4 linked regions of the Oreochromis niloticus genome follow. The protein of the gene in region 2 purifies or fractionates together with the protein of the main gene of each other region. This does not show direct contact. Links are inferred from orthologs where the notes say so. Each region holds a gene or a part of one and is shown on either strand. Other genes may lie near its edges.

Region 1 (7,310 bases), on a different chromosome or scaffold from region 2:
TCTGGGTGTTTCTGTATTTGTGGGAGGGAAAGGGGGCGGAATTACTTAAGCCTGGAAATCCATTAGCACAACTGTTGGCCGTAAATTATGTGAATGTTGACTTGAACTCACCTTTATTTTTTTGCCCTTGTATGGGTTCTTTATGTAGTCTTGAGCATCAACTATCAATTCTGTCAGGGTCCTGAATTTACGAATCTGGGTTTGGCAGAAAAACAAAACAGAGAAACTCAGGAGACTTGACTTAACAGAAAAATCTGACTTGGAGAAAAATCGATACAAATCAACTCACCTCTTTCGAGACCTCCTGCCATTTCTGCTTGCACATCTCAGCTGTGTAGGAATTGAAAGCAACTTTCTGCCAGTCCAGGTGGGACTCTGATGTTTTGTATTTAGTCAGGTCTTTCTGTGGAAGAGCCACTTTCATGGCCTCCAGCAGTCTTAAAAGGTCATCCTGCGCCCATACTGTGAAAATGTTAAAAGAGAGAGAGAGAAAAAAGACACATAAAAATCACAAAGGAAAAAAACAGATCCACCCAAAATATCTTTCAAATCATACATCCTTTTGTGTATTCTGCCAAGAAAAAAATAACAATAAAATTACTATTCTATTCGTTTATTGGCTTTAAGTTGGTAAATCATATATTCTAATCTAATTTGAATCAAACAGTTTTAATTGCTGTAATTCTTACAAGAACTAGTACATTAATCAAGTTTAATACTAAGGTCTTAATATACAAGGTTATGTAAAGTGCTGCTTTGCCATGATTAATCTACATATCAACTCTGTTCAGAAAAACTTTTGCAAAAAACCCACCTTGGTCTTGTGTCGTTGCCTCCATTTCTCCATTCATTTGCGGATATTCTGTCTTGGATCTGCGAAAAAAAACAAAAAACACCCCCATAAGATTATTTAAAAGCATATCTTTTATATATCGACTTCAATCAAGAACCAATCAGCAGTTTATAATATACATATTCGTGTTTATTACCTTTAACCAGTAAGGCTCGAGATCTTTAAAAATAGTAATTAATGTTATTTTGTCTTATTTGTATAAAAGGGCTTAATTACCAATTAAAGTGGCTAATTCTTCATATAAAAGTAATAAACGAGTCAAAGTCGTTAAATTTAAATTTGGCTCGACATAATGGTTTATGTTCATTACACCGCCCCTTAAACGTTTACGCTACATGGTGAGACATAGGCTATTGCTTGTGACGGCTTCAAATCTCAAATAACACTGCGGAGGGCTTCAACTAGCACATCTAGCTACGACAACAGGAGTCTCCGTCGAGCAAATTTTGCCAACCGGAATTTGGCGTATTAGTACTGTCCTTATTCCACAACAAAAGTATCGTGGACACACAGGAGCGACCATTTTCTCGCCTGGTCCGCTCAGTAATGGAGGATTTTCTGTCGGAGCTGAGGTTGGGGAGGATCCACGGAAGGAGGAAGCGAATGGACGTGGACGGACGGGCAGCTGTAGGCGACCAGCTGACCACGGACGAGGGATCTGCTTTCGGTCTCCGAGAAAGGGGAATGGTAGCTTGGAAGCACTGCAGCCAAATGCGCCACTCGACAGAGGCGCCTCATCACCGTTGGGCGCTGATCTAGCTCCGCCACGCAAAACCTATAATCTTCTCCTCGTAGTGTTAACTGAGACCGGAGCGATGAAATCAAAAATAACACTCGTTTACAGTAAATAAATGTGTTTAAAGGTTATCTGCAGGCCGTTTTTATTCACGTTTCAGGCGTTTCAGAGTGGGATTTGCTAGCAAAATCCAGAGCATTCTTCAGCGAGGCGTAACCGAACTGTGTTCCAATGATGGCGGCTGCTCGTTGTTCATCTTGTCCTTGATGGCCCCAGCTCAATGTGGTGTCCACCGTGTGACCTAGCTACATTTAAACGATCGATTTCACCATTTATGTAACTAAATAACCGCCACATTGTATATAAGAAACTCTTGAAACACAAAATGTACCTTAAATTTCATTATTATGACAATATGGGTGATATAAATTGGAGTGTTGAGGCATTACACGAGCAAGGACGATTTGACACACCGAATGCGGCTAAAATTGGGACATTTTCTTTTAAATATTATTAGCTATGCCTTTTAAAAGGTTATTTAATACAAGGCTTTAGGCTTTTTGGCATCTAAGAACAATTTCGTGTCCTGCAGAGTAGACCTGGACCACATTAACATTAGCTGTTGTTTACAACCAATCATTTAAATCACGTAACGGTTTTTATTTAGCTGCGTTTAATAAAAAACAGCTAATTCAAATGGTGGACAGCGGACAGGGATTAGTAACAAATTGTAAAAATGCCCGTAAATATCGTGGTGGCTGGCTGGAAAGACTTGCGGAGGCGCAGGAAGAAAGAAGAAAATGGAAAATGTTTTTTAACGGCCAAATGTTATAGCATCGAACTAAATTTTTTTGTTGTTGTAAAACCAGAAATCAGCTTTAACCGTTGCTTACAGTTCCGGTTGCAGTATTGTAGCATTAAACGGCATCTAAAATGGTTAGCTAAAGCTCCGAGGAAACATGTTAACAAACCGCGGCTGAGTAGCTTCTCTGGCGCGACAAACAGCTCCAGGTCCGCCATGCTTCAGCTCTGCTCTACAAGGAAACCTACCGTGACAAGGTCCAATGGCGCACTGCAAACACAGAGAAACGGAGCTTAAAACTAAAGCCAGGGCGTCGCAGACTCCCTTCCCTCGATCCAAAACCGTTTAAGCGAGGGCAAGAAGGCGGGTTCTCCGAGCTCGGTCGTCGGAGGTTCTGGGCTAGCCAGTGAGAGAGAGGGGGAGAGAGAGGGCGAGTCTCTGCACGGTGAGATATTAAACTGAGATCCCTGATGGCTAACCGAGAGAGGCGGCTGGCTGTTCCGTCAACAGCCGCATGGAGGTCTCGGCGCGGAAACCACCGTTTATTCTCCTACGCAAATACTCCCCGTACAGCAGAAGCAGGCGAGTTTCGATGAAGGGGTTAGCTCAAAAGAGTCTTTTTTCGTGTTATTTTGAAAAGAAATTTATCACGTTTACCCCAGGGTCTTACATCCAGTTCCTTCCCCGCTGTTTGGGACAAGAAATTCGGGTATGGCCGCCCTCGTCTGTACCCTACCACCGTCGGTTTATTTCGCTACTACAAAGAAGCTGCCGACCGAGGCGCTTTACGAGAAAACAAAAACATGCATTAAATGTATATTTATCGCGTTTTGATGGCTTTTTCGCGGTTTGTTTATCACGTACGCGCATTGTATATTGAAACCGATCGGCTGTTGTGTTGGCTTACCTGTCTCTCAGCGTGAGCCTCGGTGTCGCTGTGGAGGAAGAAGGGGAGGGTTGAACGATAGCCAGCACTGCGCCGTCGGTCCTGGGCTCCAGTCCCCGCAGAGATGGTCCTTCCCCCCCGCCTCCATCTCACTCGCCGTCTCCCTCCACTCAGCGCGCAGCAGCTCTTCTCTCTCCATCCAACCATTTCGCTACCCCGAGACCTCCACATTTTTTCCGATCTCTCAGTTTGAATACAACCGAGGGCGATTATTTTTACTCCCGCAGGCCGACCCCGTCACATCTGCAGCCGAAGTTTGAACCCACCGAATACTTTATCGGGTGACCGAGAGTGCAATGAAAACCAACATTTTACAGGTGATTGTAAAATTTATACAACTCAATCACCTCACGCTCTTCCATCAGATTTTTTTTTAATATCAACTTAAAACCGAAACTTTACAAATTTTACTTAAAAACGCCAGATTTCCACTTAAAATATAAATAATAAAATGGTCTATAACACAAAAACCGCGCTGTTTCTCGCTGCTCCTAACCTCTTTTTTGTATATTGTAAGCGGCTGTTTGACAGCTTCATTTTGGTCCAGCATGTTTTGCTTTTCAACTCCACCTTGTGTGTTTGTGGGCGGAACCCCCGGCCATCCAATCCAAGCAGTCCGATTCAGGGAAAACAAATGACTTTCAGGCCCTCGGCCTTGTTAAACCGTGTTGCGTTCCCATGGTGTAGGAAAAACGGGTATCTTTGCATGCGAAACGAGTAGAGACAAATGAAGACATGCTTGAACGAATAAGTCATATAGAGCTTATCTTAACTTCACGAAATGTCACATTACCTATAGAAAACAAACAAACAAAACTCATTGTAAAGAGGCAGGGGACTTAGCAGCGTGCAATGTCTGTTTTTAAAATTAAAGACTCGGAACAAGCAATTTACCCCTTTCCTGCCGTGATCATTTTCCCCAAAGAACTTTAACTATTTGTGTCGCAGTTCAGTTTGCCTCAAAGCAGTTGCGCTATTTAAGGGATAGGAAAATCAGCCGGTCCAACTATGTTTGTCTTGATTGAATATTAGAAACATTATTAAAAAGTGACATCATGAAATAAAAAATACATAACAAAGGGTGTATTTTACAACTTCACGGTTTTGTATGTTGTGTATCTATGTATTATGTGACATGTCATTCAGCTAAACATGTTTTACTAGTCTGAGAAAGAAAACAGTATTCTGTTTAATGATTCCCCCTGTGTTATTATCATAGTGTAGGCTAAGAATAAGTAAGAATAGGCCCCCCTTGTCTTCCAGAGCAGCAGGACTTTGAAGTTTCCTGACATCATTGAAGGCAGCATGAAGCTGACTGGCAGACATGCTCTTCACGCCCTCTCCTCTTTCTTGCAGGGTAAAAATAATGACAAAATGTTGACATGTGATGTGACATATTGTGTTACTTAATGCGTTCATGAAAACATGCGTTTTAAGGTTGTCTTTATTTTTTAATAAAATTAAATCCAAAGCATGTACAGTGTTTTGCACACAAATGTGATGGGCAACATAAAATGCACAAGGAAAATGTATACAGAGTTTTACCTGATTATGTCATCAGTATAACAATCAATTCAAACAATAAGATCTCAGCATCAACTATCTACCTGCACTGCACACCTCATTTAAAATCACAAACACTTACACACAAGCAGTGCATTTATATTCTATATAGGCCAACTGAACAAAAAAAGTCTAAACTGTTGCATAAACAATACACAAAGTAAATGGGAAAACTTCAGAAACAACTTCACACTTTTCTGAATAATCTGATAAACTATGGACAAAAGGCACATTATAGTCTCACAAAATTCATTATTTTGTGCGCATCTGAAGAGCTGACATCAGATTTCCTTAGCTTAAAGTAAGATGAAATTAAATTATTGTAACATGGGCAGAACTAAAATTTAACTGCATTGTTGTAATATTAAAGCCATGCTGTAATTGAGCACTAAAAGAAAATAAAACTATTATATATAAATGGATCTATCTAACATCACAAGGGGAAAATATCTCTTATTTTCAAAATCCATTCATTCATTTTTCCCTGAGAGAAAATGCCACTCTGTATCTAAGTACATAAACAGCCACTTATACCTTAAAAAACATTTTTGAAATCCTAAAATCTCAAAATATTAATTAGTAATACCTGATAGGTCTCGATGATGAAATTCAATACATTTTGGTTGTCTGTTGTGGTTGCAAACCCAAATTTAGATGCAGAAGTCATATATTAATAAATGTCAGGTAATGCCCTTTAAAGACAAATAGTAATGGAACAGTTTAAATATACAAAGAAGTGGCATCACTAAATAAAATGTGAATATGAACGGTATGGTGATGTTTATGGCAGTATAGATCCATCCTACTCATCCTCCTCAAATGTCACCTTGGCGTCATCAGCGTCCAGCTGCAACACATGCAGATCAGGTTACAACAAGGAAATTTACATATGAAATGACACGAAGAGGTAAATTTGAAAAATATAGGTAAGCACTTACACATTTCATTTCCATGGCAGAGAAGAGCCTGCCAGTCATGAACATGCGCAGAGGAACGGTCAGAATGAGAACAAAAGGCAGAGCCAGAGAGAAGGTGCTCATCTTCACTGCCCAAAGTACACCCAGGCACACGAGCTGGATCAGAGTGAACAGATGCATTCGCAGGGTACTCACCTGTACAAATGACAAAAATAAGAGTGAGAAATGCACTAATTAACAATTTATATGGTAATTATTACACCACTAGACTTGGATATATAAGAAAAAGCAGGATGGAATACATAATCTAATGCAAGGAGCTGTGAACCATTGGCTGTTTTTGAAAGTACTGTTAGCAGGTCTGGGAAAGTGAGTAAAAATGAAAGCAAGGTAAAAAAAAAATGATCACAAAGATATACAACAGAAGACACAAATGTGAGGCACAAAGCTACAAAGACATGGAAAAAATAGCAAATAGATTAAAAATTGTAAACAATACTAAATATTTTTTGTGCTCTGAGGAAAACTGTCTAACACAGTGAGTTAGCTTCGAAACATGAAGGTGTACTGCATACAAATTAACTGTGATTAGCTGATAAGTGTAAAATAAACTGTATTGTGCTGAATAGATACCCTGGTGGCATAGGCATCAGGGGGATGGTATTTCTTGGGAGTAATGAGCAGAAGGATCCTGTCCCACATCTGGATTCCATTTAGAGAAGTGATACCCATATAGAGGAAGATGCCAAACAAGGCAGTCATTGGAATCATCTTCAGAATAGGCTCCATGTAAATAGAAACTCCTGAAAATTGGCATGAGCAAAATGGTTATTTACTCTGACTCTGCTGTGCCTGCATCATTGCTGTAGATGGCAGCACCTACCAATCATGATGGCCACAATCATGCCGCTGACCCTCTGCTCAATCACTTTCTCAATCTCTGGTTTGGGGCCCTTGGACATGACAGTGAGAGCATTGGCGTGGGTGACAGATCGCACAGTGGCAGCACTCAGCCAAGGGACTCCAAAGATAGACGCGATTCCGCCCATGGTGACCAGGACGAGAAGGTCCCAGTGGAAACCCGACCCTTTTACCATTTTCCTTTCCGGTTTGCTCACAATCAGCCTGGGATTCACAGAGAACATTGAAAACAGAGATTTCTTAAATATTTAAGTAGTTAAATTCACACAAACTGATACTGTTATCGTTTAAAGTGTCACTGACGTAGTAATTTGGGACTCAAGGAAGATGAGGATGAAGACAAGCACTGCAGGTATACAGCTGGCACCTATCATCCAGCCGGGGAAAGGTTTCTTTTCTCCCATGGGGTTGATAAACCATCCCCTCGCATCGGGGTTAGTCACTTCAATACCTTTTGGCACAACCAGTTTCTATGAGAAGACAGAGTGATAATGCTGATTAGAAAGACATAGTTAAAGGTAGATTATTTGGCCTTACATCATACATTTTGAGAACTGGTTGGATTGCGTGCT
Region 2 (6,827 bases):
ATTAACCTCCAGCGCTTTTAAGACATGATGCACCTGAGAAATATTTTTGCATGAGAAACAAACACGTCTGGATCTGTAGGGGTTTAGGTTTAGATGCTGTTTTTAGAAACATCACAGCAAATTCTTTCCAGGCTTTCTACAAAGTCTAAGGACTGAGGATGCGTGGTTCTTACCTCAATAAACATGTTTCCATGGAGTTCAGAGAGGGCATGTCTGGGCAGACTGCTACGCAGGTGAAGTCCATCGCAGTTCTGAGACACAACGTGCTTAACCTTTACACAGAGCAAACAAAGACAGAACATGAAGCACTGCCTTTAAATGTGATGTGAGCACAGATGCTACAAGGAGGAGACGCAGCACCGGGGTAAACCGAGGTAATATTCTGTAACGCTAAAGATGGACGCTGTCCTGTCCTTATCAATGCCAGAGCAGGAAACACAAATAACCAATCATGTTTCAGGTGTGTGTCACATCTGCTTGTTATCATAGTAAAGTTCTGGTAAGTGTAGCTATTGTTTTTCTTGGCTAACCGTATTAAAATCCTTCTAGAAGTAAGTCTTGTGATTTTGGAACATCTTGGAAGTTATTTTGAAGCTTCTGTCTGAATGAATAACTGGAAAAAGTAAATAACGTTTTTAACTTAAAGCTTTCTTTTAATTATTGGATTTAACTGATGAGTCTTTAGATGCTGTTTTTATGTCGCAGTAACCATTGAAACTGAAGTTACAAATCTCTAATCACTCATTTAAATGCAAAATATTCAATATTCAAATTCAAAATATGTTCCTGGAGGACTTTGGTGTGACATACCAGCTTTTCCTTATGAAGCATCTTAATGCACATGTGCGTGAGCGTCGGCTCCGCTTTACTCAGGTCTGACGAGCTGTTCGTAAAGAAACGCAGAGATAAATCAAACAGAATGCACTAGGGGAGAGTAATACATATATTTCATGTCACAGTAAACACTCTGTATCTCACCTAATGGCCCGACCCTTCTGTAGCTGCGTCCATACCCCGTTAGGGCCCCTGTAGTCAGGGATAGAAGCTGCCTGAAATTATAGACGATGTCAGTTTTGTGAAAGTTTAAAAAGGAAAAGGAAGGCGAAAATGAAGAGGAAGAGTTTAACATACCGTGCTGATACCGGCTCCAGTGTAAACCACCAGGTGACTGGCTTGTTTGACTGCCACAGCGAGCTGCCTGACTTTATTTTTCAGCTCATCAACACCATCAAATACCTGAAAAAGACATTAGGGATGTACTAAAGACCATTAGAGCTTCAAAAATAATCAGAAAAAGATTGAGGGTTTGTCTGGAGGGTGGGTCAGGGAGTGACGGTGACGATGGTTTGCATCTGATTTTTTTAAACCATGACAAAATAATGTAAAATGATCACTGAAGGGAGGAAGTCCGAAGCAAAAGAAGCAGTTTTAATTTTTAAAATCATGCAGTAAACTACTGTACGTTTCACTCTGAAGCCTCGCTGCCCTCTCACAGCAGAAAGAGCAGGAGGACACTGTCACCCAACCATGATCTTTAATGAAAGTTTTTTAAACACCACAAATGCTTCTAAGAGAGGAAGAAAACACAGGATGTTTTAACAAGTAATGTCTCCCACCCTGTTTTAGCCTACTAGGAATAACCCTTGAAGCTCTTTTCTGAACAGAGTGGTTTTTACCATATTTTAGGCCTGCTTATAGAACAAAATGACTGGGTTTCCATCAGAAATTCGTGAGGGTGGTCTCTCTATGCAGCTGACCTTCATAAACTATTCTAGTGGTCATCAAACTCAAATCAGAGTATATTGGTACTGAGGTGTCAATACATGTCATTAAGGGTACTGGGGAGCTTGTCAAATGTCGTCTTTACGGGGAAAAGAGTTAAACCACGCCTGGTTCAGCTCCTCAGTTCATACTTTGGCTAAGTCTAGGATTAAAAACCAACAAAAATAGCTGCTAACATTTAGCACTTTGAGAGATACTGCTTCTGGTTGTATGTGTGCGTGTGTTAACTCTTATTGATAATAAATGGGTAGATGTTGAATCCTCATACTGCTCCTCCATGAGCAGTCCATGAGGACCGGAGTGGTAGCTCAGGAGACCAGTGGTTGACTCTGGCTCCTCCAGTCTGCATTTTGACTTATCCTTAGGCAAGATACTGAAGCCCGAATCTAGCCTGCTGCATCCATCAGACTGGGAGTGCATGTGTGAATGTTAAAAAGGTGCTTAGGTGTAAGAAATGAATGTGTGTGATTGGGTGAATGAAGCTGTTAGTGCCCATTTAGAGCAGAACAGCACTGTACAAGTACCAGTGCATTTAACAGAATGGGTTTAGTCCTTTTGTATTTATTAGACTTTGTGCATAAAGAGGGACTACCATTCAACCTCTCTGAGTCTTCACACAATCAACCCAGAAACCTGCTGCTTCCACTTCTGTTCTCAAGTTGTCCCTCTAGCTGACAAACCAATCTTAGCAGGCCAGATCCAGCCTCTCTGGGCCGGAGTCTCACCTCTTCCTGCTTCCTCTTGAGCACATTTCTGCGGACTTGTCTCTTGCAGAGCTCCTCCACAGTGTCTCTGTGGAGCAGCAGAGCAGCGGCCTCCTCCTCTGACCGCTCAGACTCCGGTTTTTTCAGGACCCGCCCGACCTGCGGGAGGAAGACAGAGGAACCGGGTAAGCCTCACAATGCACACAGCAAACATGAGCTAGTCTAGCCTGCTAGCTGTAAATGTGCATCTGTTTTCTCCCCTCTCACCAGTCTGAAGACCTCCCTCTCGCTCTCTCGCTGTAGTATTTTAGCTTTGCTCAAAGCTTTCCTCTGCGCCCGGGAAGAAACACCGGCGTCCTGCTCTTCCGCCATCCTGTTTTCAATCAGCTGACGAGAAGACGTCTATTCAAAACAAAGCTCATAGCACCAGACACAGCCGGAAGCGGAAGGTAAAAAAGAAACCGGGTGAGAGCCGGGAACACCGCCCCCTGCTGCTGGGAGTCTGTATTTTCCCTCAGTTTCACACATCACATCAGCAACTCAGTGTAAATAAAAGTTTATTATTATCAAACACGAACAAATAAATAACATTTAAAACAAATCAAAAATCCACAACAATACAAAATTTGCAAAAGGTTTTAGCTACAAATATTTAAGGCAACACGAAGAGTAACACTTCAAGTCAAATATCAGAAGACGAACAAAATACTACTCATATCACACAAGCAGGGTTTAATATGTGTGAATACAAGAGGTGGTGAATCATGAAGGTGATGAATGAACAGGTGTGTTTCAGCTGGGTGTCCTAATGCACCTCTTTTCCATCCACGCAGAGAGCTTCCAGAGAACCGGCCCACCCCTCAACTGGTTTTAGTGGTGATTATGCTGAGTTGCGAGAAGTTAAGAGCTACTGTGGCAAGAAAAATGATGACAGAGAGAATCTGAGGACTGCCTCTGCTGGTTGTTGTGATAGTCCTTCTCATGGTCACTGACCTGAGTGCCTAAATCACCGTGCCTGGGATCTCTGAAGTGTAGTGCTGGCCTCAGCTTTTGTCACCTGGGACTAGTCTGCACTACACTGAGCACCAGCAATGTGTTTGTGGAAAAGTGGAAATACTGTTTTTTTTCCACAAAAGACAAAGATTTATAACAGCAGCAGGAAAAACACAAGCAATGCTTATTTCCCATTAAATGTAACAGTGAGCCATACAGCACAGCACATACAAGGGTGCTTTTCCAAAGTGTCTGCTCTGAAAAGGCTTATCTACCACATATTTACTTCCTAACATCATCAAGTGGATCTATAATAATTTTTCTTGTTTTCTGTCATAAATACTGTGGCACAGACAAAAGTTAAGGCTTCACACTGCTCTAACTGTTTTATCTATGCTTGGCTTTAAAAGAAAGAGGATATCCCTAATATGGTCTTATCAGGCACAGAAGTCCCACCCACTTCCTACTTGAAACCCGTTTTATGAGGGGCAGCCAATCAGGAGAAAGTTGACTAAAACAGCTCATTTCAGCTAGTTAATGGGAGCGAGGTGCTACGCCAAGGCGTAGTATCAGATAATAAGGAAAACTTTTAACTGTTAATCATGCAAAGCCATGCTGGTAGAGTGAAACAACAAAAAATGGAGCTGAAAATAAGCAGAACAAAGCTCCAAGCTATGTTTCAAATCTGAGAGTAAGATTGAAGTATATTTTATTCTGTTTCATAGATGTTTATAAAGCTTATGCAGGCAAAGAGCTGCCAATGTCAGCAAACGTGAAACAAGGTGCTGTGTAACTATTAGCTTGCCAACTTTAAGGCATGTGACCACAGTCACACTTTAAGATTATGTTTAAGGATCTGTGGTCCTGAAATTTCAGTCAAAGTGGTCACAAAGTTAACAAAAGAGGAGCTAAAGTATCTTATTTCAGACAGTGGATGGAGTGAGAAGCTGCACCAAGCCTCAGCAAAAGATAAATAAGGATTTCTGTTACCTATGAATCATGCAAAGCCACTCTAGTGGAGTTCGTGAATAAAAATATTAGGCTGGAAATAAGCACAATAGGTCACCTTTAAACAAAGCGATTGCCTATATGAAGACTACAACGCACAACCTACTAAAGAGTATTTGTTCCCAACACAAATCTAATATTTGACCCCAAATTTATGAACTGCTGTCTTCCTCTAGTACCCAAATGAACAGAGAGATGATCAATACTGTTCACTGTAGCTGTCAGAACATCTGCTGAGAGTCTATAAATCTTTCAGGTGCTGTGAACAACCCTTTATAGTTGCTGCCAAACGATTTTTTCTGTCAACTCAACATTTTCACACAAATATCTTCAACATGAATAATCTGAAGATGGCAAAAAAGATAAATAAATAAATAACTAAAAGATGCCGGAAGCAGACGTGACATAGCCGCTCCTCTGTAGACACCATGGTGTCAAAAATGTTCTCAAAGCCCCTGAGATGAAATACAATGATATACATTAGTCATCCATTTGAATCAAATTTGGTTTTTGGATTTGGAAACTCTCAGATGATTAGTAATACTCTATTCATGTAATCACTAGAGGGCTTGTTAGGAGTTCTCACTGGGGCCAATTAGGAAGGTGTCATTGGGGTCTAGAGGAGGAAGCGCTCTTGGGGACCCTCTGAGGATTTGCTCTGAAATGTCCTCGTTTGGTTTCTGGCAGGAGCTCAGCAGAGAATCCAGACTTTTGTGCTGTCCTCGTCATAACCCCCCGGTGCCTTCCTGCAGCCTTTCTTTGGATCCTGAAACAAAGACAAGACAAGTTTTAGGAGCTGACAAAGAAATGAAGAAGAAAGTTTTTTCTTTCTGTGGTGCAGGATTTTCAATTCATCACAAAATTAAAGGAACTGCTGCATTTTTACCTTGCAATAAAAACCCACTCCAGTGGTTCTTATGTAACTTGTAATGACTGGGTTCGGTTCACATTTGTGAAGAAAACAGAAAAACAGCAACGATGCAGGAAAAACTCACATCATTCCTCTTTTCCTCTCCAGTGACTTCTGTGTTGCAGCTGACAGAAAGCTCTTTCCTCTCGGGCGGCCAGTCTGTGAACCCTAAACACACAAGCACGCACACACGTAAAAATGCACAATATTTAGAACACAGTCTCTGCAGCAGCCACCAGTATCAAAAGCAAATCCATACACTGTTGATGTAATATTTGAATTTCTACTTCTCAGCCTAGAAACTCAGAACAGGAGAATGAATACAATTCAAATAGTTTGGCGTTATCACCGGGAGGTATTCTAAGTATAACAGCAACCATATTTATATGTGAATCACATATAAGTGATAAAATAACCACTATGATTATAAATACAGCTGTGGCCAGCAGTTTACATACAATCATCATGGGCATGAATGCCGTGGTATTTTTGGGCCTATAATGATTTCTTCAAACAGTTCTTTTTCCACGGTGACATGATTGTCATCAGCATGTATCTTAAAACAAACAAACAAAAATTTGGTACATACGTTTGAACTTATTTTGAATTTTCTCTAAAGCTCCTCGGATGAGAGGTGAAACGTTGTCAGGAAATTTTTCTTTCCAAGCTCCTGACCTGGATGACTGAGAACCTACACAGACACACTACAGCTGATAGTTTCTCTTTGCCAGCATTAGAAGAATTTGTTTAATGGCACTCATCGGATTGATCAATAATTAGAACAATGAAGTCAAGTGCAAGGAACTCAGTGAAGATCTAAGAAGGAGAACTGTGGATTTACCAGAGTTAAGAAGGTCTCTTGGAGTTATTTCTAAACAGATTCCAATATCTCCAGTTCAAACAACTGTATCAAAGTACATGTTATTTTTATGTGTCACCACTTTGCCAGGGTCTGAAAGAAGACCCAAACTGTCACGCTCAGATGACAGGAAATTGGTTTGGATGTTCAGGAACAACACAAGAACCACCAAGGCTCAACACTGCCATGAACTGGAAACTGCTGAATGTCAGCATCAGTATCCACAGTGAAGCGAGCTGAAACTCAAAATGGACTGAGAGGGTGCAGAGAAAGAAGCCTTTGCTCCAAAACCGACACCTCCAGCTAGACTGAAATATGCAGCTAACCACATGGACAAGCCAATTGCCTTCTGGAGAACAGTTTTATGGTCAGACGAGGCAGAGGTCTATGTTTGGAGGAATAAAGGTGAGACTTTCAAATATAAAAACACTAGACCAGCTGTCAAGCATGGTGGTGGCATCATCATGCTCTGGGGCTCCATACAGCTGGGTCTATAACAGGAAACTAACCAGTTTAAATGAACTCAGAATCAATTCTGTAAAGAAGAATGGTCAAATATCCAGCCAGAACT
Region 3 (7,907 bases), on a different chromosome or scaffold from region 2:
AAAGCACTTGCAGCATGAAAAACAATATTCCAGAAACAGGCTTTGCAAATACGATCAGCTGTTCAAAACACTTCCTACGTTGGAATAGACGTCAGCGCGAACTATCGCATGTCCACCATTACTTGCCCGAAACCGGAAGTGACGTCATATTCGTGGAAAATGTAGGGTTTTTTTTAACCTTCGGGGCCTTATAAGCCTATACTGGTGTTTTTAAAAGTCATCTTTGACTCTATGCTTTTCTGAATAGTTTCTGGGATGCTTAGAACTCAAATTGCACTGCTGGAAATAGTTTATTTTGATGCACATGCGGTTTTCTTTGCAAATTTGGATTATAATACTTATTTTCGTTTTTCCTGCAGTATATAAAAATTGGTGTATCTCAAAAATAAAACTGAAGACACTCAAAATAAATTTCCTGTTGCTGGAAACTATTTTGTGCAACTTTTTTGTATTTACAGTTTTGAGGGATAAGCCTCTTAAATTTCTCTAAGTAGAAATATATGTTAAAAAAACAAAAATGATTTTCTTTTTTTGTAGTTTATTGCACTTTTTTGCAATTTATGTAATTATTATGCACTTAATGCATACATATTATTAAAATTTGGGATATAACAGTTGTATTGATGTATAGCAACTTGAAATGCTCCTAAAAATGGCACTACAGCATGTAAAATGTAAAGAAACTCTGGCGGACTTGGTTCTATGGTAGGTCTTAAAGGGTTAAGAAACAAGTGGAGCGCTCAATGCTTGGTTAAAATGCGGTGGTCTGGTGAAAGCGGTGGTGTTTAAAGATTGCTCGGGTAATTGGAGAAGCAGAAATACAAAGCAACACTTCAGCTGCTGTTTGTGATCAAGTGGAGCACCCAATGTTTTGGAAGCTGCTTTAACTCCGAAAGTGTGTTCAAAACACCAAAACTGTTACCATTTGAACTTAACAGCCTATAATATTATATTATTAGCAGATACCTGAATAAAAATATTTTGTTCTGTAACTGCTTCAAGTCATCATCCTGGCATTTGAGGATGACATCCACGATGTGATGATACAAACGACACGTTTCCAGTCTCACCTCTTCCTCCCCGGAATCCTCCCCGGAATCCTCCTCGTCCTCCGCGATCACCAAACCCTCCTCTGCCTCCACCGCGTCCTCCACCTCTTCCTCCTCTGTCCATGCGAGGACTGAAACCTGAAACCATGAATCATTTATTATATGTGTAAATAGACGGACACATCTATAACACTTATTCACCCAATCATCTTCTCTTAAGCACTTTTATCCATTGACATTCACACACACATCACATTGAGTGCATTGGAGGAACTCTGGGTTCAATATGTTGCACAAAGATGCAGACTGGAGTCGGTGTGAGTCAGTCCATCAACCTTGATAGATGAGCCTGAGCCACAGCTGCCCCACATGTGGATCTGGAGGTTGTGAAATACCAACAGAAACTTCAAACACACACCATATCCACCTCTTCAAAACTAGCAATGTTGGAACAACACGTTCAAACTTGAAGTTATCCACAGTAACGTGGCAACCAGACCACTGAGAGTCAAGGACGATGGTGCCGCTTTTACACTCATAGCTACTCATCTTCAAAAGATTCTGTTTTGGTCGTTTTCCATTACGGCCGAGTAACACCTCCATGTGGGTGTGGGCGTTATAGCGATGTGGCTAAAAGACCCGTGATCTCATTTGTATGCCACAAACACCAAAGAGAGGAGGAAATCAAGATGATGGTATCCCTGTTGCTCGGTGTATGGCTTCTTGTCGGGCTCTGAGACCACAGTGTTGTTCTTTGTCTAGCTGTGTTTGGTTTTTTTTAAAAAAAAGGTAATTTAGATTTTTGTGAATGAGTTACTCTCAAGACTCACTAAGTGATGCCACCGATGGGCCAACCATTCCACTGGTGTCACATTTTTGACCCCACTCAGCTCACTTACAACCCCTTACGAGCAGGTTCCCTGGTATCAGGTACAAACACCTACTGGAAACCCTAAAAGCAGAGCCAAGCAGGCACTAGTGAAACAGACGGCCCCTGCAGGTCAGACAGCTGGTGCCAACATGAAGGTGGGACCTGACGTTTTTCCCAAATCCCAGATGAGCCAAAGCAACCTTTTACAGTACATGGCTGCCTACGTCAGTGCCGCCATCTTGGATCGTTAACCCGGGTCGCTGGGGCTGCTCGGGATTTTCGAGTGCGAAACGCGACTTGAGGTGGCGCTCCAGATTTAAACACCGACTTCCGACTAGCTGAGGGACGCAGCATAACACGCACATAACGTGGTTCTTCCAACACGCCCCACACTCAGAAACATCCTTCATAAGAAGTAACAGGGAGGAACACGGGCTAAGACTCGACTCACTGACTTCTGTGTCGGCGTGCTCAGCGTGGCCGTCCCCGTGATGTTTGGACACTTTCACCGAACCGCAAACACACAAAGTTCCGGCCGGGCTAACGTTAGCGCGAGCTACGTCTCGTGGAGCTGTAAACAGTTCGAGCGGGTTACAGACGGCACGACCCGACTTTGAGTAAAACCGTAACTCTGGTTGTAACGGAGGTCGCTGTGTGGGCCCCACTGAGTCCCAGACACGTGCGTGGAGCACAGCGCGTGTTCAACTCAGACTGCGCGGACACATGAACGTCTCACCGTGAACAAAACACGCGCTCAGGCAGCCACTGTTCGCCCAAGTCTGCTGTAGTTTTCACGGACAACGTGGCCGTGTAGGCCGTCCACGCAGTGTATCTAACTGTACAGGCTCATTAAATACACGATCAGACATCCGCCCGCATTACCGAGTATAAGCACATGTAATCTTACTGTACCTGGCTTCATCGTTTCTGGCGTAAACTACTGAAATGAACGCAGCCCGCGGAGTCGAATCGCTTCTCTTCTGTGTTGATCCTCAGTGAACAGACACGGTGTGATCACGTCCCACGTGCAGCTGTGCGACCGAGCACAAACTTTCTTCTTCTATCTAATCTACTGCTGCTTAGCAAGCAAAATGGCGCATTACCGCCACCAACTGGACACAGACGGAAATCTTGTTTTCAAACAGACGACAGCTGCTCTCAGCTGCCGGATGTTGTGCCAAAACAACCTTCCTGTCACAATGTTGAAGCCGGAATCCGTCTTTGATTTCTGATTGATATCTGCATCTAAACGATAACGGTCACTCTTTCGAGGATGCTAGTGTTCACATTTCACATGGTTTGAAAGAGAGTCAAAGCAGCACTTATCTGCACAATCTCATACACACACACCAAGTTACTTTTTGCACAATGCTCACTCTTGTGCACAACCCGCTGTCGTTGTTGCACTTTTCTATTGCACTGTCTTGTGTCTGCATTATTCTGTTCTGTCTGGTGTTGCACTCTCTTTGTTTTGGTTTTGTTGCACTTTATGTAATCCTGTGTTGATTGTCTGTTATATGTAGCAGCGTGGTCTCAGAGGAACGTTGCTCCGTTTCACTGTGTACTGTACCACTGCACATGGTTGGAATGATAATAAAGCCACTTGACTTGACTTGAGAACCACCTATGTCCACTGTGAGCAGCCATCTTTGACACCATCTGTCTGCCATCTACAAGGCAGTTTGAGATCCCTTCCCAGACGCTTAACAGACCCTTACCCCCACTCATATCATGCGTCAGGTGATCTCAATGGGTCGCATAAGGTCTCACAATAGTTTCACCCAAAACCTCTGCTAATAATGACCCCACACCCTTTTTCACACCTTGGTACATGTGATCAATATTGTTGGTCCTCTTGAGGGCCAGCTCCCACATGGGATTACATACCCAGGATTCTGCACCCTTTGGTTTTAGAAGTGAAGAAGCTTGATGAGAGGTGAAACATCTTCAAGAAACTTAAAGAAGTCCAGTTGTTTTTCTCCAAGCTCCCTGGATGAGACAACTATTAAAAGACCACTTCAAAATAACAAGAAAGTCTTTGTACTGATGTTAGCTAAATGATCAGAACACACAGACCGTACAAGCACATCACTGCTGCTCAGAGGAGCAGGGTATAACTGTTTTTGAAAGGAAATCAGATTCAGATTCATTTCTATTGAGCAGAAATGTTGGAAATCACAGTGAATAATTACTGAGTCATTTGTCATTCTGATATAGGCTCAGAGCATCATGGGAATCCCCCACACCCCTTTTCACTCCCCATGTGTTTATATGCCACTACTGCATGTCATTAACATACATCTTAGTTCCTCTTTTCTTCACCCTCATCTGAACGCAGACGGCTGAATTAGAATCTTTATTGTCAGTGTGCTTTAAGAACAACGGAAACTGTATGCAAACCCGCTCAGCAGGGGCGATTCTAGGATCAGAGCTTTGGGGGTGCTGAGCACCCAGAGAGCTGCCCATCCAGGCAAGATAAACTTTACACGTCACGACAGAGACTGTCAGTCCCTGCATCCTTAAATGTCTCCAGTTGTCCCGAGTTCTCTCTGACTGTCTCCTTGGTGCATTTAAACCCCTGTTCCTCCCTGTCCTCGTCGTCTGTTGTCTTCATCTCCGTTATCAGTCATCAGAATTTTACCATCTCTGTGCAAGTCTGCAAATTTCTTTCTTAAATCAGAAGATTCTTAAATTCATCAAGTCTCTCTGTGCCTGGGTCCTCGTCACAAAACATGACATCACTGTTTTGTACATTTTAACACAATTTAATCCCCACATTTGTGAAAGAAAAGCAAAACACTTTTTTGAAAAGTCTGTAACAAAATCATAAATCTGATAAAGTTTATTTAAATGCCACAAAAGAAGAATGGATTGGAATATAAAAAAATACACATCCTAACCTTAATTACTGGGGGAGGATAATGAATGATGATCATAGTGAGTAAAAAGTAAACTGAGTGCATTTTTTGGACAGAGATTCAGTTTTAATGTGTATGTATAATATAATACAGATACATAAAAATACTCCCAAAACAGAATAAATTATTACGAATAAATTGAGGGTTGAAGCACCCCCCAAAAATGGGCTAAAATCGCCCCTGCCACTCAGTGTAAGTGAAAAGAGCACACCGTTAAGAAAAAAAAGAAGAATATATATACAATAAATAACAATACAAAAATAAAAATAAACTAAATAAATAAATAAAATATAGTACATAGTATATCCAAGACTGTATATAAGAGTGAACAATGAAAAATACGGTTGACCCACAGTGATATAGTCTGTACAAATTTAACTGTACAATATTTGTATTTTCACAGTGGCTGCCCTTTCATGACCCTGGTTTCTCCTCCTTGTTACTCTTACAAAGAGCTGTTCAGAGGGGATCTCTGATTGATGGCACCTTGATTAAACTATAAAAAATCTATAAATAAAACTGAACAAGTCAAATATTAGGCCCATTTCCAACAACAATGAGTTCCAGTGTCACATTAATGCAAGTTTAAAATGTTAAAATGAACAAACTCATTGGATATAAGTTTACAGTTTTTACACACACAAAAACGGATGAATTAACACAATTTATCAATGATCAATTTTATGTAAATCTGTGTTGCTGCTGAGGCAGAGACCGTCCAGAGATGCTGGCAGCATTGATTTAAATGAAAAAGAAAACCTATCATGAAACAAACACGAGGTGAAATTAGCTATCATTAGTGTTTGGGTGTACATAGAAGTGCGATCAGTGCAAAAAACATGACCTAACACTTAAGAGTTCACAGTAGCCTACTATATTCAAGGACTCACTATGGCCATTTCAATAAACCTGCATCTTGAAGACACTTGCAACGACTACAGCCCGGCCTCCACAGTCACCTGACCTAAACCCAAAGGAGATGGTTTGGGATGAGATGGAGCGCAGAGTGAAGGCAAACAAGCCAAGTGCTCAGCATCTCTGGGAACGCCTTCAAGACTGTTGGAAACCATTTCAGGTGACGACCTCATGAAGCTCATGGAGAGAATGACAAGAGTGTGCAAAGCAGTAATCAAAGCAAAGGGCGGATATTTGGAAGAATCTAAATTATAAAACATGTTTGGAGTTATTTCACACTTTTTTGTTTGATACAGCACACTACGATGTGTGCTGCTGGTAAAGTTTCTGGGCTGTCTTTCCTCATAACAGCCATCCCTCAAGATTCTCTCCATTTAAAGCAATGCGATATCAGGGACAGTAACATCTAGTCCTTTTACTGAACCATACATGTTCATCCATAGTGTTGATGCCTTGAGTGAGAATCTACAATGTAAATAGTCATGAAAATAATGAGAAACCATTAAATGAGAAGGTGTGTCCAAACTTTCAACCAGTAGTAATAAAACACTACAGCTAATAGTCAAGCACCCAATGGAACTGTGTGAGCACTGCAAATAACTGGGCTGTGTTCAACATGTACTGTTAGGATGCTGGTCTGTGTTTAGGACACGAAGGCATTAATAGCAATCTCTGAGGAGCTGAAGATAAATTTGACATTAGAAAACCTGCTCGGAAGGGCACTGTCTCAAGTTTATGGCCAACTGTTGAAATCTGTGATTTTTTCCAGATCCACACTCCAGTCCAGCAGGCGGCGGTAATGCGCATCTAAGCTGGTTTACCAACCGCCATTAAACTGAAAAGAAGAAGAAGGTTACAGTCTCATGGCCATCAGTCGAGGCCCAGGCACTTTTTAGCAAGTCAAACATCACAGAGTTAAATAAGCCAAAGACACTTTCAGGGAGTTTCATGTAATAACAGTTAGACACAGGCTAAGGGTTTGAATCACACGATATCACAGAAGGAGCATAGGTTTATTTTAATTGCTTTTACATTATGGAAATGTTGTATTGTTTTAAAATATTGTATGGTTTCATTTATACAGCATTGAAAAGACGGTTTTCCATTGGAAAATTTGGTTTTATATCTATGAATTTTAGCCAGTAAAATGAGTTAATTAATCAAATTGCCCTATTTGCAGATTAATCAAAAAAATATTTCCCATAACAGAGAGAGAAGTCAGAATAGATAAAAGAAACAACAAAAGTACAAAAATCTGTCCAGAAAAGATTATAGCTGGAGCAGGACCAAAATAAGTGAGACAGTAACAAAATGAATCGTTAACATCGGTGTCTTTTTTATATCATACAAGAAAAGTTCTGGTGGGGTAAAAACGATGAATGATTTTAAAAGATATTTTCTTTACTTTGTTGGTTAACAGGAATTTCGATGGAAAGGTCAAATTCTCTTCCCCTCCAGGTCCCAGTATAAATTATTCCCATAAGGAACGGCCACTGGGACACAAATTGTGTCTTTCTGCACTGGAGTCCTCACTGCATGCTAGATGGTGAGGAGAAACCCACTGTGTTTGTATCACATACACTGAGTGTAGGAGAAAAGAACTACTTAGAACTGGATACAGAAGGATTAGCTGTAATATTTGGTGTACAGTATTTTCATGAGTACTTGTACGGCAGGAAGTTTATGATTATCATGGATCATAAGGCACTGATAAGTTTGTTTCACGAGATGAAGGTGGTGATACCAGAACGAGGCTGATGCCCCATGCTGGAACAGCTACATCACAGTCGGGAATGAGCCACATGAAGGGCCTGGCCAGAAGTTACCTGTGGTGGCCACACATGGAGACTGACATTGAGCATGAGGTACAGTCCCGCATTACTTGTCAAGAACACAGACACAGGCCTGCTACACCCCTGAGAGTGGTGAGCGGTGCAAACTTTAAAGGAAAAAACGAGTACTGGACACACACTGTTAAACAGGGGTCTGTTTAGTTACTGAATCACACCACAATCAACAACAGGTAGGTCTCCCGCCGAGTTGATGATGGGCAGGAAGTTGAGGTGTACACTTGATCTTATGCACCCCGACTTGAAACAGAACGTGGCATCAAACAAGATATCCAAAGATGGTTCCATGACAGACATGCCAAGA
Region 4 (7,245 bases), on a different chromosome or scaffold from region 2:
GAAGAAAAGGAAGAAGTCAGAATTTTGTAAAAGAGCAATAAAGCCAAAGGTGAGACTGTGACAGACTTTACATTTACCTGTGTGTGGAGAAGGCCAGCCCATTAACTCTGCGGCTGTGAACTTTCTCCACCCGAGATGGCTCCGATCCCAGGAAATCTTTCACAGTCACCCTGCCAAGCTCATCGCCTGAAACACGATCAGAATGTAAGCGAAGTTAACTTTGTCTCAATTAAAGTCAGGTCTTAATCAAATGTGACTCAACAATGTAATGCAGCGTCTTACCAAAAGCAATGGTGCTTCTGTGGTGAGGGTGCCAAGCTAGAGAAGTAGGGGAGCAGCTAGGAGACTCTACATCTGAGGCAAAACAAAAACAGAAACTGAGAATGCGCTTGCCATCTCTCATTACTTACACAGGATATCCTGTACAGCACAGACATATTTCCAAGACAGCCTATAAACGGATTCCAGGAACAACAACACAAAGTCCTTCTTTAATCATCTAGACAAAAATAAAACGCTAGGTAGCTAGTTAGGTAATTATGGAGCACTTCCAAAGTTTTGGAAACACTCTTATTAACTCTTTAAACCTTGAAAGCCTTCTAGAAGTAACCCTTGAAGCTCTTTTGTGAACTAAGAGGTTTCATTATATTTCAGGCCTGCTTATAGAACTAAATGATTGAATCTGCATGTAAGTTAGTGAGGATGGTCTCTGCCTATTCCGCCACACCTGAAAAACCTGAAAACTACTCTAATGTTCATCAAATCACATCTTCATGGGTTTTTAATCCATCATTAAGGGGACAGATGAGGTGTTGTCAAATGTTGTCTTCATGGGGGAAAAGTTAAGGCTCTGGATTTGGGTTGATTACTTTGGTAATGGCTGCATATGTGGAGGAATCAACTCCATTGCAGTTGCAATATTGTCTACCTGCTAGGTATTAGTACATACTCCAACTTTAACACACATACATTTGCAGAGTGAATGACTGCTGCATAGTCTGTGTACTGGCATAAATTTGTAAACACAACTGTTTGTTTTGGAACAAATTTTACTCTCTGTCATAATTCATTTCCTGTGCAGCTTTACCAATTCTAATCTCAACTACTCTTCCAGTAGTGTTTGGCAAAAGTGGTTATCAAAGCTTAGTGAAGTAGCTTACCTATTCTTGATGCAGGTTTGTTGGGCTTCCTCCTGTCCCACAACAAAACACGCCCGTCCTAAGAAGGGATGAGAAGAAGAAGAAGTTGAGTTTATCTGAATGATTGCAGCTCTGCGGTCCAAAAAATAAACCTCTGCGACAAGAATGCAAACAACACGCTGATTAGCATCTTACTTGGCTACAGGAGAGAAACAGAGACTCATCTGTAGGACTGCAGGCAACACAAGTGACTGGTTGTGTGTGCACTGTGGGAAGAAAACAACAAGAACTGTTGAGTTAAACTTTTCATGTCAATGATGTTTATGACATTTTAATATAAAACTTTCCTTCAGCAATACATCGTTCCAAAGAGTCAATAGGAATATGACACTGGGATAGTCTGGTAATATCAGCAATAGAAACAAAAAACCTTGGTAAATTAATTAATCTAAAATCTATACATCCAGGAATGCTACAAAAAATAAACATTTTTTACTTTTATTTTTCCACATTATGGAAAAAAAAAAGCATTTTTATAAGTTTTGTGCATTTCTATATGAAGAAATGTTAAGATGACGCTTACCATTGTAGGTAGTGACAACCATTTCCTGACTTAGATCCCAGACTTTAATTCTGTAATAATAAGCAAAGATGCACTTTAAGGGATGACAAGGGCAACTCAAAAATTAAGTAAGCCAAAGTTTGAAACAAAAGCAATTAACATTGCTTCTGCGCTGTTGTGACAGGTGGAATGGTGTATGTATGTCCATGTAAAACAAGTCTAACCTGCAGTCCATGCTGCCAGTGACTGCAGCGGTTGCTCCAACCATGGGGCTTACTGTAGTGACAATATGGTCATGATCATTCTTGGTAAAGCGATTAACCAGTAGACGTTCATCCTCTGCTAGTTCCCAGAGCTCCAAGGCACCTGCACAGACAAATGAGACCAGTCTCATACAAGCCTCAAGTGTGTGCTTGATTCACCTGCCATAAAAACATTTCATTACCTGAATCTGAGGCAACAATAATTCCTTTCTCTGACACCCATTTGACATCTGTGACACCAGCCTCAGTCTGCACACCAGCTTTACAGAATCCCTCACTGGGGGCCTGGTCAGGGTCGCTGTAGATCCAAACAGATCCCTGCCAGCTTCTGCCAGAGAGGCTGGAGGCACCAAGTAGCAGGGTGCCATCTGTGGAGAAAGCCCAACGAGAAAACCTTTCAAACGTCTATATTTTCATTCATCGCCTGCCAGAAAAGTTTAGTCTGACTGGTATTCAACAGAAAATGTTATTTCTTTAACATTTTGTTGGATGTAAACATAAGAGAGTCAACGTAGGATTTCAACAGTTTAGCACAAATGTAAACACACTAATTATAACCAACTAGCGGCACCACGTGTTTACACGTTAACTTCAGCTAGCGCTCCTTTCCCCTACCTGCTCTGTATTGTGCCGCGCACAGGTGCCTCTCCATGCACGCAGGAGCATTGGGGGGTATGTCCCACCGGTTTTCCTTGATCATCCTAGTATCCACTGAACTATTCATCCAGAAATCGCACTTTAAATGTTGATGAGATTTCCTAAACTTCTACAACACAACTCCTGCGTTAGCTAGCTAGTGCTACTGCAGAAATGATGCAGGTTTTGTCTTTAGTTTATTTCTTTTGAAAATATTATTATTATTACTATCAATAATAGCACACAGTCGGTTGCTAAAAACACGATTAAGCCCGTAATGCATGAAAAACGAGTCCGTATATTTTTCGTTTCACGAATGAATGACCGAGAGCAGCGCAACACATGGAACTGCTAGCAAACGCTTCCTGTCCGGTTTCTTCTTCTTCTCTTTTTTTGGCAGCATGCATAGTACCAGACGTGTTACTGCCCTCTGCAGTATTATTTAGCTTATGGGGCCTCTTCAAAGGTTTAATGTAGTAATGTAATGTAGTACTGCCACCTGGAGTTACTATAGCTTTGTATTTTCACATCATGTTTTTATGTTTTTTTAAAAATTGTATTTCGTTTTAACTTTTTGCTTTGAACACTGTTTAGTTTCAGTTAACTTCCAGAGTGCATTTTCTCATTTAGTTTTAGTTTTTGTTCATTTCAGTGTTAGTTTTAGACTTAAAAAAGAAAATTGTATTTATGGCAAATGACAGAGGCAACATTTAGGAAAATCAATAGAGATATTACAATATCAACAGGACTTTTTGAAAGTGGTTGACTCACAGTCTTGTAGACATCCAAAGCCTCAACAAACAAGTTCACCAAAGCCTCATCATGCAGTTAGTGATAACAAATTTTACCAAAATAATACAATACTAACAATAATACATCATAACAATACCAAACTAGGGGTGTTTTCACTATCATTTAATTTCATTGTAGTTATTTTTCCAAGTTTACAGAATCACTTCAGATAGTTTACATTTTTTTAAACTAACTACTATGGAAGCTTCTTTCTGCCTTACAAACTCAAACATCCAAGAAAATAATTAGAAATCGCGAGTTATGTCATTTTTTTCTCCCAGTGGCAGAAAGAAACTTCCATAAGTTTTAGCATAATTTCAACCAGTACTTTGATGTGACTGCCTATGTCAGTTAGTTAGTATGTCAGTTACAGACAAATCAGTCCAGGAGTTATTAATCTTGGAGTATCTTGTCTTTCATTACAGTCTTTTCATTCTAGCTACAGATACCAACTTCTAAATTTACAATTTGGCAGATAGCCTAATTTTGATGTTTATTCCACTTTTGTAATGTTTCCTCCTTGTGCCGGGTCAACAGGAACATCTAAGCTAACTGAACTGCTTTAAGGCCCTTCAGCTTTTCATTACACCATCTGCTTTTGATCATAAAGATAAAATAAACCTGGTCACACACTGCCTTTTGTAGATGGCATTGCATCTGCTGATAATTTCTAGAGAAACTTAAGGTATTATTATTATTATTGTTAATAATAATAATAATAATAATAATAATAATAATATCACTTATTATTTCTATTACTTAAAACATTATTACTGTATTATAATTTATTACAGAACAAGCACTGTTTTTTACCAGTTAATATGAATGTAACACTATTTGCGCTTTTGAAAAATAAAGCAAGCATATACGTTACATTTAAATACACTTTAAATCATTAAAAAATTCATCATTAGCAACTAAAATATTCACCTGATGATGAAACGAGATCCAAAGACAGAGGACCACAAAAGTTACACCAGTATTCCTGAAGGGGTATCTGTCTACCACAATGCATCCAATAGTTGAGATTCTTCATTTCTAAATACCACAGTAGAAGAATTGAGAATAACTACTTTATTGTCACTCAACAAGATCAATGTTCATAGTAGTGAATCTCTCAGTAAAAGGATTTAAAGCTGGGTGACAGGTTTCCCCAGTGTCCTCTTATTGCCTAAGAAATCTGATATTGTCCTTTCTTCTGGGGCTTTGGAAGATAAATTCTGTGCCTCAAGTCATTTCTGACTATGGCATGACCATTTGGCCAACTACCTTCAGAACTTAATTTGATGTATAAATTACGTTATAGATAACTTATAAATGATTCATTCTGCCACGTGTCTATGTTTTCCATTTTTTTTCCAGGTCTTCAGGATTGGGAGGACATCAAACCCCCTTCTGCTATTTCTAGAAATTCCCATGTCTTCCTAGATCTTATTCTTTTTTGTCATCTCTTATCAAATAAGACTCGGGCTGGAGGTGGAAAAGCTGAAGATGCTATGATTTTTATTGGGAGTGACCACAATTGACAGCTCAGGCTGAGCAGTTTTAAGAGAAAGGTAGAGAGGCAAGGCTGGGAAGGTCTGGACATTCTCAAGAGGGACAGCGGAGATACTGGACAAAAGATGTTAAATATGTAGCTGCCATTCATGGATTTAGTGAAGGAGAACATGCAGAGGCTTGGTTGTCAAAGAGAACGCTAGGGATAGGGTGAGGTGGTGCCTTCACTGTGGTGACCACTAAAGGTTGCAGCCAAAAGAGGAAAAAAACATTATTGATATATTTCAAAGCATTTTTAAACCTTATGCGCATACTGCAAAACCTTAAAAGAAGAAGAAGAAAAAGACATGACGCAACATTATGGATGCAATTGGAGGTACAGCCGGTGATCTACTACTCAGAAGGTTGGTGGTTCAATCCCTGGCTGCTCCAGTCTGCATGCCAAATATCCACGGGCCAGATTCTAACTCCAAGTTACCGTTTAGGTAAGTCTGACAGCTCAATAGGTTTTTTGAGTTACAAAAAAGAGGTTTAATGGCGCAGTAAAAGTTGGTAAAATCATTTTGAACTAACCGGAAGTCCATTTGCGCTCCTTTTCATGTCCAGTTTGACCCTGTTTATTTACAATTCTGGCATTGGATAGTTTATATATACTAACGTAGTCCCTATTACGCCAACTGCTTATCGAACAAACCCCACAGTAAAGTGACAAGAGAAGAAAAGTAATTCCAATAATGTAAATGCGCACTTATAACTACGTCAAATCAATCTGCACTTTTATTGTGAAGGTAGGAAAACGGAAATGAAGGTTACATTGGCGAAAACGTTACAGTTCTGTCCCCCTGTCTAAAATCGATAAGTGATTGGCTTACTTGATGGTTAAGATTTTGTGGGTGTATTGCCGTGTTCACAAAAGGTAAGCACACAGCCATGTCAAGTGGCAAAACGTGTGTGTGTGTTTTTTTCCTCACACAAGTGTCGTCGGTGCACATAACGGTAGCTTTGTAACGTTAGTCGTCGTTACAGTGATGCCTTTGTCTCGGCTTTAACCCACCAGGTAACGTTAAGGCTAACCGTTAACTGTAGCTAAGGCTAGCTGCTCCGAGGTGTGTACCTGTCCACGCTGAGTGACAGACACTCAGGTGGGTGGATAGCTGCCGTTCTGCATGCTAGGCTGCTGATGTGTGCACACTGGACTGCAGCCTGTGCGCAGCTGCTGGGGAGCATTAAGGGAGAGCTGTTAACATTCTTGGCGAGTCAGACCTCCAGACATACCAGCATCATTGCCGCGCACTAAGAGAAATGTCATTCGAGGTGAAAGCAGTGAGCTGCTGGCACTGTAGCAATTAACAACGTAAAATAAGGTACTTAAAACCTACTGGGAGAGCAGAGGGTTTGTTTATTAAAAAAAAAAAAAAAAAGCCTTCATTTTCCTATTTTTTTTCTCCCGAAAGTATAAGTCAAATAACTTTAAGTTCATCATTTTAAATTAAAGCTCCAACGTGCCTTTATGGTCCTCCTTACACTGTACACTATGCCAATACTATATTTTTTTATTACAGTTATTGACATTTCTGTGTTTAGGCCTATTGTTTGATATCACATATGTATGAGGATCACTACTGTTTACTCTGTAAATAAGTAAAGTTAGTTTTAGATGTAGACTAAGTTTTGTACTAGTACTGCATTTCTACACGGGATATAGTAGCCAAACATCTGCATTACGTTTACTGAGAGCAGTGGCCAATGTTCACCTATTATGCCGGATAAATCCTACTTTGCTTATTTCACAAAGAGGTATGAATGACAACAATAACACTGATCATGTGCTACTTTGTCATTTTACACATCAGCGTTGGTACAAGAGTTAACAGCTGGAGCATCCTCACTTTCTGTACATTAAAGAATATTCCTGTGTAATGTAAAAATGTCATATTTATTATAAAAGTAACCATAAGAATACAACAATGTGTGTATTTCACAATCCACACTTTAAATGGCTATGTATGTATTAAAAAAATTTAAGCCACGGGCTATATTGACTTGGAGTGCGGTATTTTAGAGATGGTTTTGGATTCATCTACAGCCTGGTTTGCATGTTCTCCCTGCAACAGTGTGGGTTTCTTCTGGGTACACAGTGTAAACACAGTCGGTAGTTTTAAATGGGTTTGAATGCCAGGTACATAATGGGTATCAAGTACACCCTACGTGAAACTAACTTCTTTATTAGGTAAACCTGTCTAAGTCCTTGTTAATATAACTAATATTTAATCAGCAAATCACATGCGAATGCAATTTATTCAACAATGCAAAGACCAAGTATATGTAGTCGGGATGACCGGCTGAAGTTCAAACC

Evidence for each region.
Region 1: the proteins of sirt7 (region 2) and ubtf purify together in Homo sapiens (affinity purification with western blotting; 3 studies listed by BioGRID, with this or other methods). This does not show direct contact. The link is inferred for Oreochromis niloticus from reciprocal best matches to the Homo sapiens genes SIRT7 and UBTF.
Region 3: the proteins of sirt7 (region 2) and fbl purify together in Homo sapiens (affinity purification with mass spectrometry; 3 studies listed by BioGRID, with this or other methods). This does not show direct contact. The link is inferred for Oreochromis niloticus from reciprocal best matches to the Homo sapiens genes SIRT7 and FBL.
Region 4: the proteins of sirt7 (region 2) and wdr77 purify together in Homo sapiens (affinity purification with mass spectrometry; 3 studies listed by BioGRID, with this or other methods). This does not show direct contact. The link is inferred for Oreochromis niloticus from reciprocal best matches to the Homo sapiens genes SIRT7 and WDR77.

What each region holds. Positions count from the first base shown.
Region 1 is NC_031969.2:28,404,045-28,411,354, forward strand, and holds the start of ubtf (nucleolar transcription factor 1), read right to left. Parts: upstream 3,013-7,310; 5' UTR 2,640-3,012; intron 874-2,639; 5' UTR 852-873; coding exon 815-851; intron 463-814; coding exon 290-462; intron 196-289; coding exon 112-195; intron 12-111; coding exon 1-11. Other genes in the region: slc4a1a (solute carrier family 4 member 1a (Diego blood group)), read right to left, coding at 5,703-5,747, 5,839-6,012, 6,451-6,620, 6,701-6,942, 7,042-7,208. UniProt on the Homo sapiens protein: Recognizes the ribosomal RNA gene promoter and activates transcription mediated by RNA polymerase I (Pol I) through cooperative interactions with the transcription factor SL1/TIF-IB complex.
Region 2 is NC_031971.2:32,548,981-32,555,807, forward strand, and holds the start of sirt7 (NAD-dependent protein deacetylase sirtuin-7), read right to left. Parts: upstream 3,006-6,827; 5' UTR 2,859-3,005; coding exon 2,754-2,858; intron 2,646-2,753; coding exon 2,508-2,645; intron 1,237-2,507; coding exon 1,132-1,236; intron 1,050-1,131; coding exon 979-1,049; intron 884-978; coding exon 811-883; intron 273-810; coding exon 174-272; intron 1-173. Other genes in the region: uncharacterized protein cp110, read right to left, coding at 5,094-5,253, 5,483-5,565. UniProt on the Homo sapiens protein: NAD-dependent protein-lysine deacylase that can act both as a deacetylase or deacylase (desuccinylase, depropionylase, deglutarylase and dedecanoylase), depending on the context. Specifically mediates deacetylation of histone H3 at 'Lys-18' (H3K18Ac).
Region 3 is NC_031976.2:1,781,182-1,789,088, reverse strand, and holds the start of fbl (rRNA 2'-O-methyltransferase fibrillarin), read right to left. Parts: upstream 3,003-7,907; 5' UTR 2,843-3,002; coding exon 2,833-2,842; intron 1,188-2,832; coding exon 1,071-1,187; intron 1-1,070.
Region 4 is NC_031970.2:22,062,855-22,070,099, forward strand, and holds the start of wdr77 (methylosome protein WDR77), read right to left. Parts: upstream 3,016-7,245; 5' UTR 2,689-3,015; coding exon 2,580-2,688; intron 2,333-2,579; coding exon 2,147-2,332; intron 2,068-2,146; coding exon 1,926-2,067; intron 1,773-1,925; coding exon 1,723-1,772; intron 1,406-1,722; coding exon 1,335-1,405; intron 1,219-1,334; coding exon 1,161-1,218; intron 355-1,160; coding exon 283-354; intron 187-282; coding exon 78-186; intron 1-77. UniProt on the Homo sapiens protein: Non-catalytic component of the methylosome complex, composed of PRMT5, WDR77 and CLNS1A, which modifies specific arginines to dimethylarginines in several spliceosomal Sm proteins and histones.